Drosophila melanogaster: one gene and its partners. The protein of the gene in region 1 interacts with the protein of each later gene in a pairwise test. Each region holds a gene or a part of one and is shown on either strand. Other genes may lie near its edges.

Region 1 (4,941 bases):
GGACCGCTCTCTCTTCCTCTTGCTCTCTGCCTGCTTTTTCGCACAGCCAGTTTTCACCATTAGCGGCGACTGTACCTCGCAGCACGCTGTACGTCCATACATACGTATGTATGCATTCACTTAGCGCGCGCGTATGTACGCATGCATGTGTGTGTGTGTTGTGTGTGCTGGTACGCGAACTGCACACAGAAAAGAACAGGGCAGGAGAGCAAAGAAAGCGGCGTGAGCACATAGCGAAAAGAGAGCCCCCAGCCCCATATTCCATCCAGCCATCGCCATCAGCTGCCTGCGCCATGTGTTCCCGCAGCTGCAGTTGTGAAAATCGCCGGTAAACTGGTTGCGCGAGCGAGATGGAGAGAGTGCGAAAGCGGGCGATCGCTCTCTCCCGCTCAGGGGCGGAGATGCCTCAAATTGGCAGGGGGCCTAATGAAAGATGTTACCCTGGAAGACGCTGCAAGAATTACCCCAAAGACATAACACATGGTGCGGGATTATTTTTTTTTTTGTCTCAAATCAGCAGCTCCAGCATTTTAATTTACAATTAAAAAACAATCACAGTGATATTTGAATTTTCATTTCCTTCATCGTACGTAGGTTTCGGTCTCGCATCTTTTGTGTCCCGTCCGTCCAACTGAACTGAACTGAAGGTGTGTGTGTGCCGTTGTCTTCTTCATCTGCCCACTGAGTGTTCTGAGTGCCGCTTGCTTGTCTGCTTCTTTAACCGCTTAGCTCATCCTCTCCAGCGTTGCGTTCCGTTTTCAAAGTCGTCGTGTATGTCTACCATTGTTGATGTTCTCTTCTTGTTATTTGTCTGCTTCTCTGTTCTTGTTTGCTGCCCCCTTTGGCTCCACAGCTATGAGCTACATAGCATGCTACCCCGCTTGAGAGATCTTGCCAGGCGTCTTGGCTGATGGGTGTGTGGTATGGTATGGATGTGGATGGAGTTAATGGTATAGGGGTGGGATACTGGTTACTGTCTACAGATCCTGTCTTACAGTCTTAGATCCTGGATAATTCCCAAGGCTCGCCGGCAGCAGCTGGATGGAGTGGAGTTGAGTGGAGTCGAGTGGTAACGTGGCCTGATCTTCTAGCCGCCTGATTCTTCGCTTTTTCATTGGTTTTTATAATTTTTATTTACGTTTTTCTTTCGGTTGTTTCTGGCTGTGGAACTCCTAATAGGATCATTTGCTTTAAATAGTATTCTTTAAGGTATTTTTCTTTATATAATCTTATATAGTTTCATTCCATTCGTTATAATGTAATTAGTAAATTCAAACACTTGCAGCATAATCATATAATCATATAGGTATAATTATAGTAGAGTGGTTTGCTTGGTGATTTCTTTTGTTGTTGCTGTTGTGGTTTAGTCTCATCTTACAAATTGGGTCGTCGTGTCTTCTTCCTCATCTTCTACCTCATCCTCTTCCTCGTCGTCGGTGTCATCTGCTCTCTCGGCTGCACAGCTGCCGTTGGCTATCGTCTTCTGGTTCTGCTCCTCCGACCCCCGCTCGAGGAGCCTTTGCCCTCTTCCTCCTCCGTGATTCCTTTTCTGGCGGCTTTCCCTCGGAAAGCCAATACTTCTTGTCTTCTTTCAGTTCTCGGGACGTTGGCACCGCGCTGCAGGCTCGGCTTTTGGAATCAGCGATGGTTACTGGATGATGTTCAGGATTATGGATTCATATGCTGCATGTGTTAATGGAGGGATGTGGATGTGGTTGTGGGTTCTTTATTTTGAAGGGGTTGATCTTGACTTGGGTGCTGCTGCTATCGCTTCTAGATGTTGTTGCTGTTGGCTGGCTTTGTGAATGTTGTAGCAAATTGATTTTTCGTTTTTTTTTCATTTTTTTTCGTTCTCATCTTTTCTTCTGGTTGTTCTTCGTGTGTTGAATTATTACTCATATTCCTCCTTCGATGATTACATTTATGAGGTGCCACGGGTGGGTGGTGGCGCCTAGTTCCGTCCGCCCTTCTCGTCGCACTCGCGCCTCAGATGTCCGCTCTTGCCGCAGCCGTAGCAAGTCTTCGAGGTCTCCGGGCAGTTCTTGGAGATGTGTCCGGTGCGGTTGCACTTGTAGCACGACACATTGGTCGGTCCACGTTCGTTGACGGCCTCTGGGCAGTTGCGCACCCAGTGTCCGGTCTTGTTGCAACGGTAGCAGGTCGGGTTGTCCGCCTGGGTGCAGTCCTTCGAGATGTGCCCGATGCCGTTGCAGCGGTAGCAGCGCTCGGCCTCCTCAGGGCAGGCACGTGCGAAGTGCCCAAATTGGTTGCATTTGTAGCACTTCTCGCGGTTGCGACGCATGCCGCCGCCATCGTTGCCGCGCATACCGCCGCCGCCGCCACCACCGCCTCCTCCAACGCCGCCCGGACCTCCGCCGCCGCCGAGACTGCAGTCCCGGGCAAAGTGGCCCGGCCGGTTGCACTTGTAGCACGTGGCAGACATCGACATCTTTGCTTCGGTTTTGGTTAGACTACTGATCCGCAAATCCGACTCCGCTTCTTAAACTCAACTTCTCAACTTCCTCACACACTCACTGGTAACCACGGGCCCTCGAGCACTACACACTGCTTGCGCTGGATGCGAAAAAATCACACAGACCAACAGGATCTCCGGCTTCCTCAGATTTCCTCGCCGTATTTTCGACGCCAAAAGTTAAAATGGCTGCCGCTGAGCGAATGAGTACCGATTTGCTGTGGTATCGACTACTCGCCAGAGTTGCTTCGGCTACGCTTGAATACAACACTGACCCTCCACGCGGTGCACATTGGTTCGAGGATATGCGATGGTGAGGCGAAATGTCAGTCTGGAATTGTGTAGTGTGCTGGTGTCGTACTACTTCCACTCGGCGTGCTTTGTCTCACAGAATCTACATTTCCATTTTGCTTTCTCACTTGGCGTGTTTAGCTTTTGTCTCGTGTCCTCCATATTTAGGAGGCACTACATAACCCAATTTTGCGAACTCGATTTTGCCACTTTATAACCACACGTAACCAGTGTGTCCGTGGTGATGGACTGCAACTTATCGGCTCAGTCGTTAGGAGTACCCCTGGCAAAGGGCTATCGAAATATATATCTTTAAATTTATAAGGAAGTCCATTCAAATAATTGTTTTATTTTAATTGTTTGGACACAACATACGTTCACCTTTTTGAAATTGGCTATTTGCAGAAATTGATATCGATTGACACATTAGGGGTGCTTAGCAAAGAATAGCTAACTGAAGACTTCATAAGAGAAAACGTAATACTCTAATAATAGAAAAGCACTCAGATTACGTAACAACTAATAAAATATTTTATGTGCATATATATAAAACGATTTATCAAAAGAACCTGGCTTTGTCAAAAAATCGATATTTCATAGTGGTGTACATTTTTAAGGACTTTCACAAATAATACGCTGAGTACACTTATATTATTGTTATATTATCCCAAATATTGGGCAGCACGATTTTTTGAAATCTGGGTGACATCGATTACTATATGAAAAGGGTATTCCTGCTTATCAGTATTTGCAGAGAAAAGGAATTATGAATAATATTTACCTCAAAAGCTATAAATTAGATAAAGTCATAATAATTTACTTTACTATTTATTAACTATATTAATTTACTATATATTAATTTACTATTTTAATAAAATATCTTTTAATGCCCTCGTCGATACCAATAGGTATTGTGAACGGTCGATAGTATCGACAGAGCGGCACTGCCTGCCGTCGGTTCATCCCTAACGCCATAAGAATTAGTTTGTTTTTTTTTGCAACAAACATTTATATTAGTTATGCGTGCGTGGCCAAAATGCTAATCGCCTGGTTAGTGCTTGCCGCCACTTTGAGCCGATCCATCAGAGCCAGCACCACGATATCGATACCGATCACAACGCAGGACATAATAGCGGGTGACGTGTTTTTTGAAATCCTGTCCCCCTCGGAACTGGAATACACGTACCGGCTGCGCCCGGCCAAGGACTTTGGATCCGCCTTCTCGGAGCGACTGGAGGGTGTGCCGCTAGTGATTACAGATCCCCCCGGCGCCTGCCAGGAGATCCGGAACGCCAGAGATCTGAATGGGGGCGTCGCACTCATTGATCGAGGGTGAGAGCCTTAAGAACCCCTACAAAGCTTATCTTAGCTATTGAAAGATGGTCATAGCCACGGCCACTTTTTATCAGTGGTCTTAGACGAACCATAGACGAACTGTAGCCATAGTTCCATGCTTCTTATCACAAATGTCAGAACCTGGTTACGTGCGTCCGGAGTGTCCGTTTAAAGTCTTATTAACAAAATCTATCAATTTTCCGAATGAAACCTTTCTTTACAATAGGAATACAAAAGATCGATACGGGAAAGCGATATAGATATTTCATATCAGATATAGATAGATATTGATTCTTGTCTTCGTAAACTAACAATGTCATTTTTCAGGGAGTGTTCCTTCCTCACGAAGACACTTCGAGCGGAGGCAGCTGGCGCATTGGCTGCAATCATCACTGAGTACAATCCCAGCTCTCCAGAGTTTGAGCACTACATCGAGATGATACATGACAACTCCCAACAGGACGCCAACATACCGGCCGGCTTTCTTCTCGGGAAGAATGGCGTCATCATCCGGTCGACGCTGCAGCGGCTGAAGAGGGTGCACGCCCTGATCAACATACCGGTCAACCTCACCTTTACCCCGCCATCTAAGATTAATCATCCGCCGTGGCTGGGCTGGTGACGTGATCGGATTACATGCAGCTCAAAGGACTCGTGTGAAAGAGACACACACGATCTGAAACCAAAGTGCATACTCGTAGGCTGAGACGTCGAGACCGCAACTGAGACTATACTTTAGAGTACCAATAAGTAGCTAATTCGTAGACGGCAGCCATAAACTGTAAATAAATAGCTTAGCAGCCAAAGAGTCAGGTCGCCAAGTTGTAATCTAGACAATACTA
Region 2 (3,061 bases), on another chromosome or scaffold:
TAAGTAGTCGTAACGTGCACTTATATCTCAAGTGTCAGATAGTAATTGTTTTACAATAGAACAATCCAACTTTATTGTATGTATGACGTGTGTAAGTTTGGATGGGACTAAATCCATTAAAAAATAAATCACAGTAGTATATTAACAAATGGATTGCTTTGATTTTTTCAATATTTGATTTCATTATCTTCGAGTGCAGTTTTCCGCTTTTCGATGAAAAGTAAACAATTAGCAAGTATCAAAAAATAAGGTAAACATAATATAGCACGATATTATGAAATAGTTAGTATTTAGTTAACGGATCCTACCTAACTATCCCCGTACTGCCCGAAATTTACATAAAAATCTGAAAATCTAACGTAACACCTAACAAAACAATTTCAAAACAAACAACAGCTGTTTTGCGATAAGCAGAATCGCCAATCGATAAGTTAAAAGGGCAAATCGATATGCAAAGTCCTACCTATTTAAAAATTATCCGTTGGGATTTCTATAGTCTTTCATCTATTTTAGTTTTAAATATCTTTATTTTGTAAATTAAGAAATAACTAACTTAAGAAATAATAAATAATTAAACTAGTACGTCTTAAGCAGAGGTTCGAAAGATTTTATTTCGTTTTCTGACGATCTACAAAAATTGTTTTAAAAATCCAGTTTTTCCTTGTCGAACTGAATGTACTTGACCTGTCCGCCCTTGGCGATGATCTTTCCATCGGACTTACGCCTCAGAATGCAGTCCAAATAGGCCATTTTCTTACCGGCCCGCACGGTATTACAATCAATTTCAATAAGTTCGCCAGGTTTCGCTGCTGCAATGTAGCTTACATTCAGGTTGGCCGTAACTCCGGGATGGGATCCTTGAAATTTAAAAAAATTTCATTGTAGATTCTATAGATTGTAATAAACAAACTTTCAAAATACCTTTCGACATAAGGGCATATGTGGTACAATTATCAACAATTGTTGCCGTAAGACCACCGTGCAAAGTTCCTTGGCGATTCAAATGCTCATTGGCCACAGTGAACTCCCCTATTGCGCGACCATCTCCACCGCCTGTAATTTTAATCTGCGAATTGAAATTTGTTTACATTTTTGAATCTCTGAAGATCCCACGAGAGAGGTGAGCACTTCACGGTTATCGATTGCAGCGAGCTGAATTATGTAATACCATCACTGATGACAGTCAGCTGTTTTTGAGAGACTTCGACGGCGTCGCTTTAAAATCGGCTGCACAAATTGTTTAGAATCTTACCATTTTCAAGACGCGGTCGAATCCATTGGACCCGCTGGCGTACTCGGACATCTGCTTCACAAAGTCCTTTGAAAAGAAAGAACTTCAGTTATCTACTCAACAAGTTACATGGTGCTCTAACCATTCCCAGTTTCTTGGCCGCCATTCCGGTGGATTTGGATTCCTGAACTGAGCACGACGAAATGACGAAAGTTACTGAGGGAGAAATTTCACATGGCGTTCAAGATGTCGGGAAATGTGAGTGTATGCGTGCTAAATAGATATACCCACACATCTGAGATAGTGATTGCCGATTTCGCGCGGTTTGTTGTGCTCGCTCTGTTCGCACTTACAAATAATTCCTATTCTTCAATGAAATAGTGTAACTGGAATATCTTGTAATATAATTGCAGTTTGTTATTGCAATTAATAAATGTTTAATTTCGTTCTAGATTATCTGGATTTTCACCTTCTAGCCAAAGGATTCGTCCGCCAGGACTCGGTACACGACTTTGTAAACAGCGATTCCGATGGAGACTTTATAGCACTGAGCGGCTCCAAATCGGAAGTGATCACTCTGGAATTGAGCAGCAAGTTCATGGTCGTGGATCCCTTTCCGTATTTTGTGGCCATTTATGATTCCAACGCTGCGGAAACACGACCTCTGGACGTTTTGGCCAACAAAGTGGATCTGGTTGCCATATACGACAGCTGCGATGTCCTGGAGGCACAGCACTTGGCCCTGGACCCGGCATACACGGCTGTGTGCTCCGTTGCCGTGCCACCAGCCAGACTAACAGCTGTTAAGCGAGCACCCAAGCTGGCAGCTAATGGAAATCTCCTCCTGGGCTCCCTCAACACTTATGGATCCTTGAGCCTAATAAACAAGTCCGCTGAGTACAATCGTTGGAACCCTGTGGAAGGACTAAATATCGCTGAAACTCTGAGGGACACTCTGCTGCCTGAAGTGGACATCGCCAAGATAAAAGACTTTAAGAGCTATCAAGAATATATTAATCCCGCCTGGATCACTATGTTTGCTTGGTTACCTGATGATGCAGATGCCACTGGCCAGCATGTTTTGGTTCTGGGAACAGCCGCAGGAAGTTTGTGGTTGCTCACACTAAGCGCCGATGTCAAAACTCTTTTAAGTCATCAAGAAACGAAAACCTCAATGGGTCGTATCTGCCATATACAAGCTTTCAAGGACCTTCTACTGGTGGGCGATAGCAACGGACTCATTCACCTGTACCAATTGCCAGCTAAGGGAAATACAGCTCTCGCCTTAGTGAAGCCCTTGTGGGAGAAAGCCGATCGCATGGGTCTGCAAATGGCAGTGATCACTGAATGTCCCAGAATGGATTGCTATTATATAACCTGCTGCAAGGCGGCGCACCTGCTGACCTGGAGCATGCCAAGAACGGGGAGCACAGACTGCCTGCAAGCTCGGATCTATGTCGGCGGAATGAAGATCACCGCTCTCTGCAGCCTGGAGAACAGTAGCTACGTTGCAGGAACCGCTGGAAGCTGTTTGTCTTGCGTACAAATTATCCACGAGAATAATCAGCTTAGCCTGCAGATGCAATCGATAGCCATGGGTGTCCTTCAGGATTTCCAGGTGATGGGACTGTGCACCAGTAGGCACAAGAACTTAATGACCCTGTTACTCTACCGCAACAAGGAATATCTAAATGAAACTGTATCTCAAAAGAACCAGTTGGTTATGCAAGTGCTCAAGGTGGGGAATCAGGATCCACTTGATCAGCTTGTCAGGCATCTGGAATCCAATAAGCCCATGAATCACTATACCGATTTATTAGCTGGACTACG
Region 3 (4,549 bases), on another chromosome or scaffold:
GCAGCAGCAGACGGAGCAACACCTGCAGCTACGCAAATACCCCGCAGGCGGCAGACCAAGCACAACCGACTATGGACTATGGACTAGGGACGATGGACTCCGGACTCCGGACTCCACACTCCACAGCTCCCACCAGGTGCCTTGTCCGCTCGCGTGGAAGAAAGTGCAAAGTAAATGCACAACACAAAGTCTGCCAGGCGCCGCCTCTGGTGAACTGGTGAATGGAGCAGGGGGGCGTGGCATGCGGCAGACGAGGGCAGCCGCAACTGCGGGTGCAGCCAAAAGAGCAACTCACCAGCCGCACCATCTACCAACCAGCCAAGCTGTTGTGGCACAGATTCGGCTGACGCAAAGTTTGATTAAATCACATGACAGAAAAGGACGAGGTAGATAGAAAGGAGGAGTAGGAGGATGGGGCTGGCGAGCGACTTGTGGGACATGGATTCAAGTGGCTTGATGCCACTGCACACAGAAAACAATCTGAGTCAAGGATTTGCTGTGGGGGATTCAGAAATTTTGAAATTTCATTGTGATAGTTTAAAGCCACGAGTTCACCCTTTCTATAAATAAATGAATAGAAGATTAATTTTATTAAACAATTTAGACTTCATTGAATATAATATTTCGATTTACAGTGCAGTTCCGCAGAGCCAATGAGCCACTGAGCCACTGACTGCACGCGTCGGGAAAGTAAATAAATTCATTAAACGTTTAGAGCTGGCCAGGTGGGTCCGGTTGCCTTTTGTGCCTGGGTAAAATATTCAGTTACCCGGATTAAGTGGATTACCATTCAGCAAGTTGCATTGTCCCGCAATCTGAGGATCTCTGCTCTGGGGACAAAGACTGGTTCGGCGGGTATATGGTGGCGGCATTGCATTCAAACGCCTTTTTCTAAGACGGGCATTAACAGGAATTTAGGTGTCTTTTGTTCTTGGCTCTTGCTGTTCTTGGATGGGGCTCACAAGCTCATGGGCATCGCATCGAATCGATTCAATTCAATTGAAGTTGCATCTGGATATCACGACGCAGTTCGCGTTCCAATCACTTGAAATTTTTAGAAGTCCGGAAGGAGCAGGATGCAGAAGGCAGAAGTGTCCTTCGTACAAAAAGATGCGGATACACAAAACAGATAACACGTATAGATACAGACACAGACACAGACAGAACGAGGTGGACTGGACTGTTTCTACTCTGCAATGGGCGGATTCAGAACCAGCTCCCAGGTATCTTCCTCCGTCGACTCGGAGCTCTTCATTTCATCGGAACGCAGGGCGTGGCAACGATTGCACTTCGCTCGGTACCAGAAATTCATATTATAGCAAATCTTGCACAGCCAGTCGTTCCTGTATGGCCGCCAACGACGAGGGGCACCGTCCTCTTCGCGTGATCCCGCCCAGGAACTTCCCTCGTTATTCTGAGGAGCGACCACCTTGTCCGCCTGGCATCTGTTGCAGCTGGAACGCCAGACGAAGTTGCTGTTCCGGCAGAGCATGCACACCCAATTGTCGATGGCTGGCTTCCATTTCATTGCCCGCTGGCGACGTTGGTGCTCCGGCGCATTAAGCTCTCGCGGATAACTGTACCGGACACTGCCCCTCCGGGTGGATAGGTAGGCGGGCAGAACGGTGATCACCTGTCCCATGAACTTGGCCCCACTCAGACAACTAATCGCCGCCTGTGCAGAGAATGGACTCACATAGGTTATAGTGGCCTCACCCTTGGAGCGCCCCGTTATCTTGTTCTTGTAGACGAAGATCTTCGGCTTGTTGGTCGACTCGTCCATCTTGATAACGCCCACTTTGCCGAAGAACAGGATGATGTCGTTCTTGGTCACATTGAGGCGCATGCCCAGCACGAAGACAGTTTCCGCCTGGATCACGTACTGCTCCTGACCGATGCTTATATAGGGCCTATGCCGCGGGAGCGCCAGGCGGGGCATGTAGTCGGCGGCGGTGCGCGGGAACACCATGTAGGATGTGTTGCCACCCATGCAGGGTAACAGCGGCGGCCTCTGCTCGCCATTAACCTCCTCTGCAAGCTCCTCCATTTCCCCCATTTCCCCTATATCTCCATTCAGCTCTTCCCGCTCCAGCGTCTCACATTGGTTCATCTGAAGATCCCGTTCCGCCTCCTGCTCTGTGTCAATGCTCACGGACTCGCCTGAACTCGCCATCGGGCATGAGGACGACGTGCTGGCCACCAACTGCTGGTCCGCCTCTGCACCACAGAAGTGGTCATCCTCTTGGACCAGAAGCAAGGAACCGCTGGCATCGCCGCTTCCATCCTCGTAGCGGTAGAGATCACTGTACATGCCTCTGGGACTCAAACCGGAAGCGGCACTCGCCTGGGGAATGGGGGCTGGTGCAAAATTAAATCCCAATCCAGAACCCAATGTGGTTCCGACGATGTAGTTGGCATGGAACATCTGTTGCTGAGTCTGCAGCTGTGGCTGTGGCTGCTGGGTGTCCGAGTAATTTGGAGCGTAAAAAGAATTCGTATACACTACGCTGGCTGACGTGCTATCCATGGTTGGTAAAAAATATACGTAAAACTCCTCGTTGTGTGGCCTTTACTGCTGATCAAACACGAACCGATTCCTTTAAAAACTACTGAAATCTTTGATAACATCCAGACACTAGGAGTATAAAAATGAACTGAGTTCCGGATCTAAGTTTCTTTGATAGATTGTGTTGTAGCCTACTTGGCAGCCATATTTTTCCAATTCAATCAAATGGCAAGCCAATTTAATTTCATTACTTTTGACTCGAAAAAATGTTGGTGATGTGTTTATCCACATCAAAACAATATAATCCGAAGTATTAATAATATCATTGCTGCACACAAAAACCAACATATCAACCGTTTGTTGCCAATGAATATATTTAAAATAAAATCGACAGCGGCAGGATTAATTTAATTCAATAATGTGGAATTTACTGAGTGAAAATGTATTAATAGCCAAAGTAAAAATGCAATATGGACATCGAAATGGCTGGCACTTTTACGTCCACACCTTTCAAGGGATTTGACCTGGTTTTTCCATCCGTAGTCCATAGTTAAAAGCGCGAAGAACTATGCAAATTTCCGTGATTGGCGGCTAAAACTCTGGATGCCACTTTCGCAGCTCACTGATGACTTTGCACTTCGCTTGTCGTCGTCTTCGGAAAATTGATTCATAATTTCTGCACATTTTCACTTTAATCAGCAAACTTTGATTACATTTTCGCAGCGTGAGATGGCGCAGAAAAGTACCTGATATCAATTTAAAAGCTTCGAGTAGAACTCCCATAGGAATCTGAAACTTAAGTTCATATTTTTCGAAGACAAGACTCATCCATGGCCGGGCCAATCACGATGAATCAAGATGACTGGTACTCATCAAGCCAATTAGCTGCCAATTACCCCACTAATGAGCGACCACATTAACCCCACAAAGGATCCCGAATTGGAGGGCAGTCAAGAATAATGTCCTGCCAACGGAGCGTGGACTCTGAAGACATGTTTATTAATATCCCGAACCCGAACTCAAGGCCGGCCACCCTGATAAACGAAAGTGCCACGTTTGTCGCCAGCTCGGTTCGGGGGAAAAAAAAAGGAAACAACATTTTCACCAGCAATTGGCTTTTATGGCCGCCGCCTCTTTACGACCAAGTCCGCTGACCTTATCATCAGATTCCGGGTTCTCGGATCCGGTGTCCTGTACGGAAGCTCCTGTTTCATTAGCAGCCCCCGCTGCTGTGGTGTCCATTTCCAAGAAAGGAGGAGGGTCAGCATCTTCAACAGCAGCAGCTTTACTTCAGAGCGGCAAAGTTTTGCTTTAACCCGTCAAATATTTCCCCCGTTGAAATGAAGTAATGAAGCTGGGAACCGCCGACACGAAATTAAAAATCAACTGTCTTGAAGGGAAAACAACAGCGAAATGGAAACTGTTGCCGGGGAAAAGTTCCTATTCCGTTGGTGGAAAACTTTTTGTGCGCTCATAAAAATCGAGACAGGGCAAATTGTCTTCCAGTATAATTGCACAAAAGTTTGACTTTGAAGCTCGTCCGTAATTGAAAAGACAAAAGCGCAGCAAAGCAATTGGCCCGGAATATAAGCTGGTATATGTATGACTACGCTGCGTTCGGTTATTCTATGGTGTGGCCAAAAGGGATGACTCTTCATCAGCATCTCTCGGTGCACACGCACTGTGTGCAGCATTCATGTTGTCTTTCCTTCCATTTGCAGCAAAGGCGAAGTAGGAACAGCTAATGAATTGGCTGCCTGCTGGAGCAGAGTAAACACGCAGCACAGCTCAGCTCAGCTCAGCTCAGCAATCTACCTGAATAAACTGACACGAATCGGAAGGTGCAGGTGCGCATTGGGTATCGAAAACACCTATCCACCTACATATCTGCCAATGAAGTATGAAGTATCTGCATCCCGCACAAAGTCGAATTAATGGAGGGGGGCGTTGAAAATCAATATTCATAAAATGTAATACACATTTAATTGAGATGAATTGCACGCATTCAGCATAGGCTGCAATCCATTTTAATGGAATGAGTGC
Region 4 (4,872 bases), 1.8 Mb from region 1:
GCCGGGTAATTTGAGACAGAAGTCAAATAATAATACAGCTCTTACCGAAACAATCAATCAGTTCATAATGACAGCTCCAAATGCACATTTAATAAGGTATCGTATTCTTATTAAATATTAAATCTCGACTTTGGCTGTCAGACGAAAAGTTTGGTAAATTCGATTTCGTTTTAGCCGGCTTTTCCTCTCGTTGGGTCAAGAACCTCGTATTTGAAGCAACAGAACGAAAATTACAGGCTCGAAACAAAGGGCAAAAGCCGTAAAGCTAAGTGAAGTTAGGCTAATATACATATTAGGGTGGACCTTTTTCTTAATGCTAAAAACAGCAGTTGGAAGTACACCGAATAAACTTTGTTCATTTGATCAAAAGAAAGTTATATATGGTCAGTTAGATGGCGGGTCTCTTTTCTGCTTGAGCTCTACTCTAGTCAAATCATATTTTTTAATCACTTCTCAAGCTTTAAAGGTTCACCCTAATCTACGCAAGTAACTTATTAGAAAAAGTCGGTGCGTCACATCCTTTTTTTTTGGCCGAAATGTTTCTTTTTACGACTTGCGTGAGGAAAAGCTTGAGCGATTTGCGGAAAGCAAATATTATATTCATATGTGGAAGTAGTGAACAATTGTGTGACTTATTGCTGGGCATTATCCTGCGGCTCAGTTCCTCGCGAAGCTGAAGGACTCGTCACCAGGCGGGAATCGATTTTGTGGCCTCGCTTAATGGTATTCCATGGGTGATGGCAATACGAAAACAATGCCAACGAATGGTATTGTGTATATTTCTAGTTGCGCTGTCTGTCTGTGTTCCTATGGGGATACTATAGAATCCTGTCTGCCTGGACATATCTGTGTGTGTGTGTGTGTGGGTAGTTGCCCATAGTGACGCAGGACACCAATCAAAGAAAGGATACTACATTGTGGGTTAGCTGGCGTCCAGGCCGAAGACTTTATTAATCCTTTGTGTATATTTAGCGACCACTTTATGAGTTGACTGCCATATATCTTTCTGTTGATTTATGCCAAGTGCAAATTGACTCCGTTTTTTTGTGCCACATTCTCTTTTTTATGGCGGATATAACTTTGTGTTGGCTTAAGCTCGAGAAAATGACCCAAAACGATTGTTCGGAAGGATTAATGTTCTATGCTAACACGTTCAAAGAAAATTAGCTTGACTCAGCAAGTGAATATTTATCATATTTATACTCGCATTTGAAAATGAATGTGATAAAGCAAACATTATTCAAACAAGCTGCTTTAAAATGGTAATCACGAAATGTGTTAATTCATGGGAATTTGTGAGATGATTCAATGTGAATTTATAATTAAAATTAAAATTCAATCAAAATGAAATGCGCTCCCATGGCTTCCACTTATTTTCGATTTCTTTCAAGCTATTTCATTTGTAGCTGAAATGACTTGGCATAATGTTTTCAAAATGTCCTCCCATTCGAAGAAGCTGTCAATAGCTGCTCAATGTTTTATAAGCCATAGCGGCACGAAATCGAAGTAACTCGAAGGACCCAGGACCTCCCACACTTGGCAGCCCAACTCAACCACATCGAAGTGATTCGATTTATGAGCCAGTGGGTGGAGTAGGGTGCCTTTTGGTTCCGTGCCACTCAACATAATTAGGGCCAATGACAATCGAATCGGACTGCAGCAACTGCACCACCACCAGGAGCTTCGTTTCGATTTATTTGGACGCCGTTGCCAGGACAACGGACGAACACCTGGCCACGAGCAAACGGGCACAACAAAACCACTTGGAGAAGGCGTTAAGCCACTTGGGTGTTTCATTTTCCTTTTTTTTTTGTTGCCTTTAAGGGGTGGCACATTTAGAGCGGTCAACTTTGAGGCCAAAAAGTGAACAATTCCGTGTAATGCCGGCTGATGGCCCCTTTTCTGCTGGCGCTGATTGCTATGGGCTGCCCGAGTTTTCCAAGAAAGGAGTGGATTTTCTTGTTTCTAGACCACATTCACGAACCGTCGGGCTGGAAGAGTTAAAAGGCCAGTGCTAACTTGCCTTGATTCATGGTCAATTGAAAAAAAGTTCTTAAAGAATTCTTAGCTAAAGCAAAAGTTTAATACAAGTAGCCATTAAATTGTTCATAAATTTCGCTGTCGTATGTATAGATTGGTTTTGTTATAATATAGGATCGTTGGTTTAATGTGTCCACTTTATGAAGATTATCAAACACAATGGATATGAATGACACATTTAAAGAAATTCAAATTTCAGAGATTACATTATCAAAGATTATAGGTTTGGTAAAATCTAGAAAAGATCTGCCAAATTGGAGTGTTGGGTTTACCTGCTGTTCCATTTTCTGATTACGACTGTTGATTCCGGACATTTTTGCAGTTATGGCTGTAGATTTCAGAAGGCAATCAAAATCCTCTGACGATTTTCACTTAACTACGCGCGATTCAGATGATCCGATGAAGAGGCATTTGGCAAATATTCGGGAGTGACAGCTGTTTTGGGATTTGCGTTGAAGAGCGACTTTTCGAATGCGAATGAATGCAGCAAAACAAAAACCGATGGGGCACCAAAATAATTGAAGAAGAATCTATGAATTTAGCACACCTGGCGTCAGTTTGTATGGTATGGTATATATTTTGTAGTTTGTGGTAGTGTAGTACGGCAGCACACGCGACAACAAAAAAATCAAGGGGTGTTCACGAGGGTGAGGATTTGTAGACTGAAGCCAACAGCCGGCTCTTCCTGTTCTCGCTCAATTTTTTTTGTACCGACGCGATCGATCGGAATTCTCCGGATCGCTGGCACTGAATGTTTGCTTTAGCCACTGAGCGAGTACCGCCTGAATATGCATATATTTATAATGTTATACAATCTATGTTGTTTGACAAACACTTTCGTGCCCGTTGAGTTGCGTGTGATATTGTCCAATTGATTGAATTTGGCGCCTCTTTATTTTGGTAGAGGAGAGAAGGCGATGTAACCCGTCGACCGAACCGCACGCTGCCAAAACAACAACTGGGCGTCCAACAGAAGCCGTCAACTCAGGCGAAGTGCTCGTAGCGGAACGGAATGGAAACGGAACATGCACACGAATGCCAGCCGAAGCAGGAGTGCGAAGCATGCCATCCTGTCGTGTGTCAGCGAAAGAGAGGCAGAGAGAACCACAACTCGCTCTCAATGGGAATGGGTCTCTCCCTCTCTCCCTCTCTCTCTCTCTCTCCGCACAACGCCTCCTGTGGCTGCTTCCTCTTCCATTTCCTACGAGCGACAGATGTGCAGCTGCCGACTGCGACTGCATTTGGATTCGCGCCCCCGACTCCCTGTTACTGGGATTTTGGGATGCATTCCCGTACAAAGCATACGCATCTGGCAATTCGATTCCGGATTGAGCAAAAAACCACGCTGATAACAGGATAATAGAGTGTTGAAAAATTATACAACTTTATGATTATGATCCTTAAGCGGAATTTACAACAATTAAAAACATCAATTTGCGTTGTCAACTCGCGCGCTTTATTTCATTAACATTAGACTTATGCTACGATGATGGTGAGTAAAATTAAATAACAAATAAATGAATATAGAGTTTCGCGTTACGGTAAATTCGATTGAAATTGCCTTGTCATTTTTGAGGTTTCTTACACGTTAACTTTGTCGGTTTTTTTTTTGTTTGGAGGCGGAAGATCCCAGGGATTCTAGAAAAACCTGTGCTTTTTCTTCTTCTTGTTCTCCCCCTCCGCCGGCGGCTGGGGATCCACGGAAACCTGACGCCTGGGCAGCAGAGGTGGCGGAGTAACATCCCCAGCTCCAACAGCATCGGCTCCAACTCCATTAGCATCCACTCCATTGGACGCCGGCGATAGAGGACGCGGTGCGCGCAGGATCGAGGTGAGTGGTGGCACCGGGGAGTGGCCATTGCCATTCGCCTCCTGGCCATCCTCCTCGATCCTGTCCAGTCGCGAACCGTGCACCGAGGCAAGCTCGGAGGGAGTCTTCACCTGGGAGCCGCCCTCATCACCAAGCTCGCTGGTCATGTTCATGCCAATGGTGGCGCCCACTTTGGCGCTGGCCATTTTGAAGTGATCGCTCAGCTTGATCTGCACCACATTGATGAACATGGAGGTCAGGGCCAAGCCGAACATCAGATAGATCATGCTGACCATTACGTAGAAGGGATTACTGGGCACCAGGTCGCCGAACCCAATTGTGGACATCGAGATGAACACGTAGTAGAAGGCATCCAGTGGAGTCCAGCTGGGCTCCATCATTAGAAAGCCGAAGGATCCTAGGAGGATGTACGTAATGAGCAGCAGCGAGGCCACCGACACTGGCAAATTGAACTCGTCGTCCACCTCGAAGGTCTCTGGATAGGGTGATGTGGGTGTCTCCGGGTGCGAGGTGCCCACCGATCTTGCGGCCTCGGCATCCGCCTGCGACTCCTCATCGTTCTCTGGCGCAGAGTTGCTGAAGAACATGCTCGGCCTGCGGATGGCCATGTCGTACATCGTATTGAAGCCTGTCATGGCGCTCCGGATCTGCTGCTGCTTTCGTATCCGGCGGCAGGAGCGCGTGTAGTACATCCGTCGCACATACACCCACAGGAACTTGACGCAGCGCGTGAATAACTTGCCCAGATCGGCCAGCACGATCAGGAACATGGGGATGCCGATGATGGCATAGACGATGGTCAGGGATCGACCCATGCCCGTCTTTGGAGTGATGTGGCCGTAACCTGGAAAGGAAGAGAAGAAGGCATGGGAGTTAATAAGTTAAATATGACTAACTAAAAAAAGAACCTAAAATGGAAATATGCTCATATATAAGAACTAACGAAAGGATTTAGGAGTTTTGGATGGTTATGGGTCCATTGTAACCCATTACCTATAGTT

Evidence for each region.
Region 2: the proteins of CNBP (region 1) and CG16985 interact in a two-hybrid assay, tested with the Drosophila melanogaster proteins (one large-scale study listed by BioGRID).
Region 3: the proteins of CNBP (region 1) and CG14718 interact in a two-hybrid assay, tested with the Drosophila melanogaster proteins (one large-scale study listed by BioGRID).
Region 4: the proteins of CNBP (region 1) and ktub interact in a two-hybrid assay, tested with the Drosophila melanogaster proteins (one large-scale study listed by BioGRID).

What each region holds. Positions count from the first base shown.
Region 1 is NT_033778.4:22,934,064-22,939,004, forward strand, and holds CNBP (CCHC-type zinc finger nucleic acid binding protein), read right to left. Parts: upstream 3,015-4,941; 5' UTR 2,450-3,014; coding exon 1,952-2,449; 3' UTR 506-1,951; downstream 1-505. Other genes in the region: CG9849 (uncharacterized protein), read left to right, coding at 3,801-4,096, 4,427-4,721.
Region 2 is NT_037436.4:2,597,693-2,600,753, reverse strand, and holds CG16985 (uncharacterized protein), read right to left. Parts: upstream 1,435-3,061; 5' UTR 1,398-1,434; coding exon 1,374-1,397; exon of another isoform or gene 1,319-1,373; coding exon 1,253-1,318; exon of another isoform or gene 1,175-1,252; intron 1,067-1,174; coding exon 922-1,066; intron 858-921; coding exon 643-857; 3' UTR 512-642; downstream 1-511. Other genes in the region: CG12182 (uncharacterized protein), read left to right, coding at 1,435-1,489, 1,684-3,061.
Region 3 is NT_033777.3:11,698,724-11,703,272, reverse strand, and holds CG14718 (uncharacterized protein), read right to left. Parts: upstream 2,660-4,549; 5' UTR 2,528-2,659; coding exon 1,187-2,527; 3' UTR 553-1,186; downstream 1-552.
Region 4 is NT_033778.4:21,100,058-21,104,929, reverse strand, and holds the start of ktub (king tubby), read right to left. Parts: upstream 3,003-4,872; 5' UTR 2,355-3,002; coding exon 2,313-2,354; intron 1-2,312. Other genes in the region: CG34396 (uncharacterized protein), read right to left, coding at 3,679-4,715, 4,865-4,872. UniProt on the Drosophila melanogaster protein: Functions in regulating protein trafficking, retinal maintenance and lipid storage. Protects photoreceptor cells R1 to R6 against light-induced retinal degeneration by stimulating norpA-mediated endocytosis of the rhodopsin ninaE (Rh1).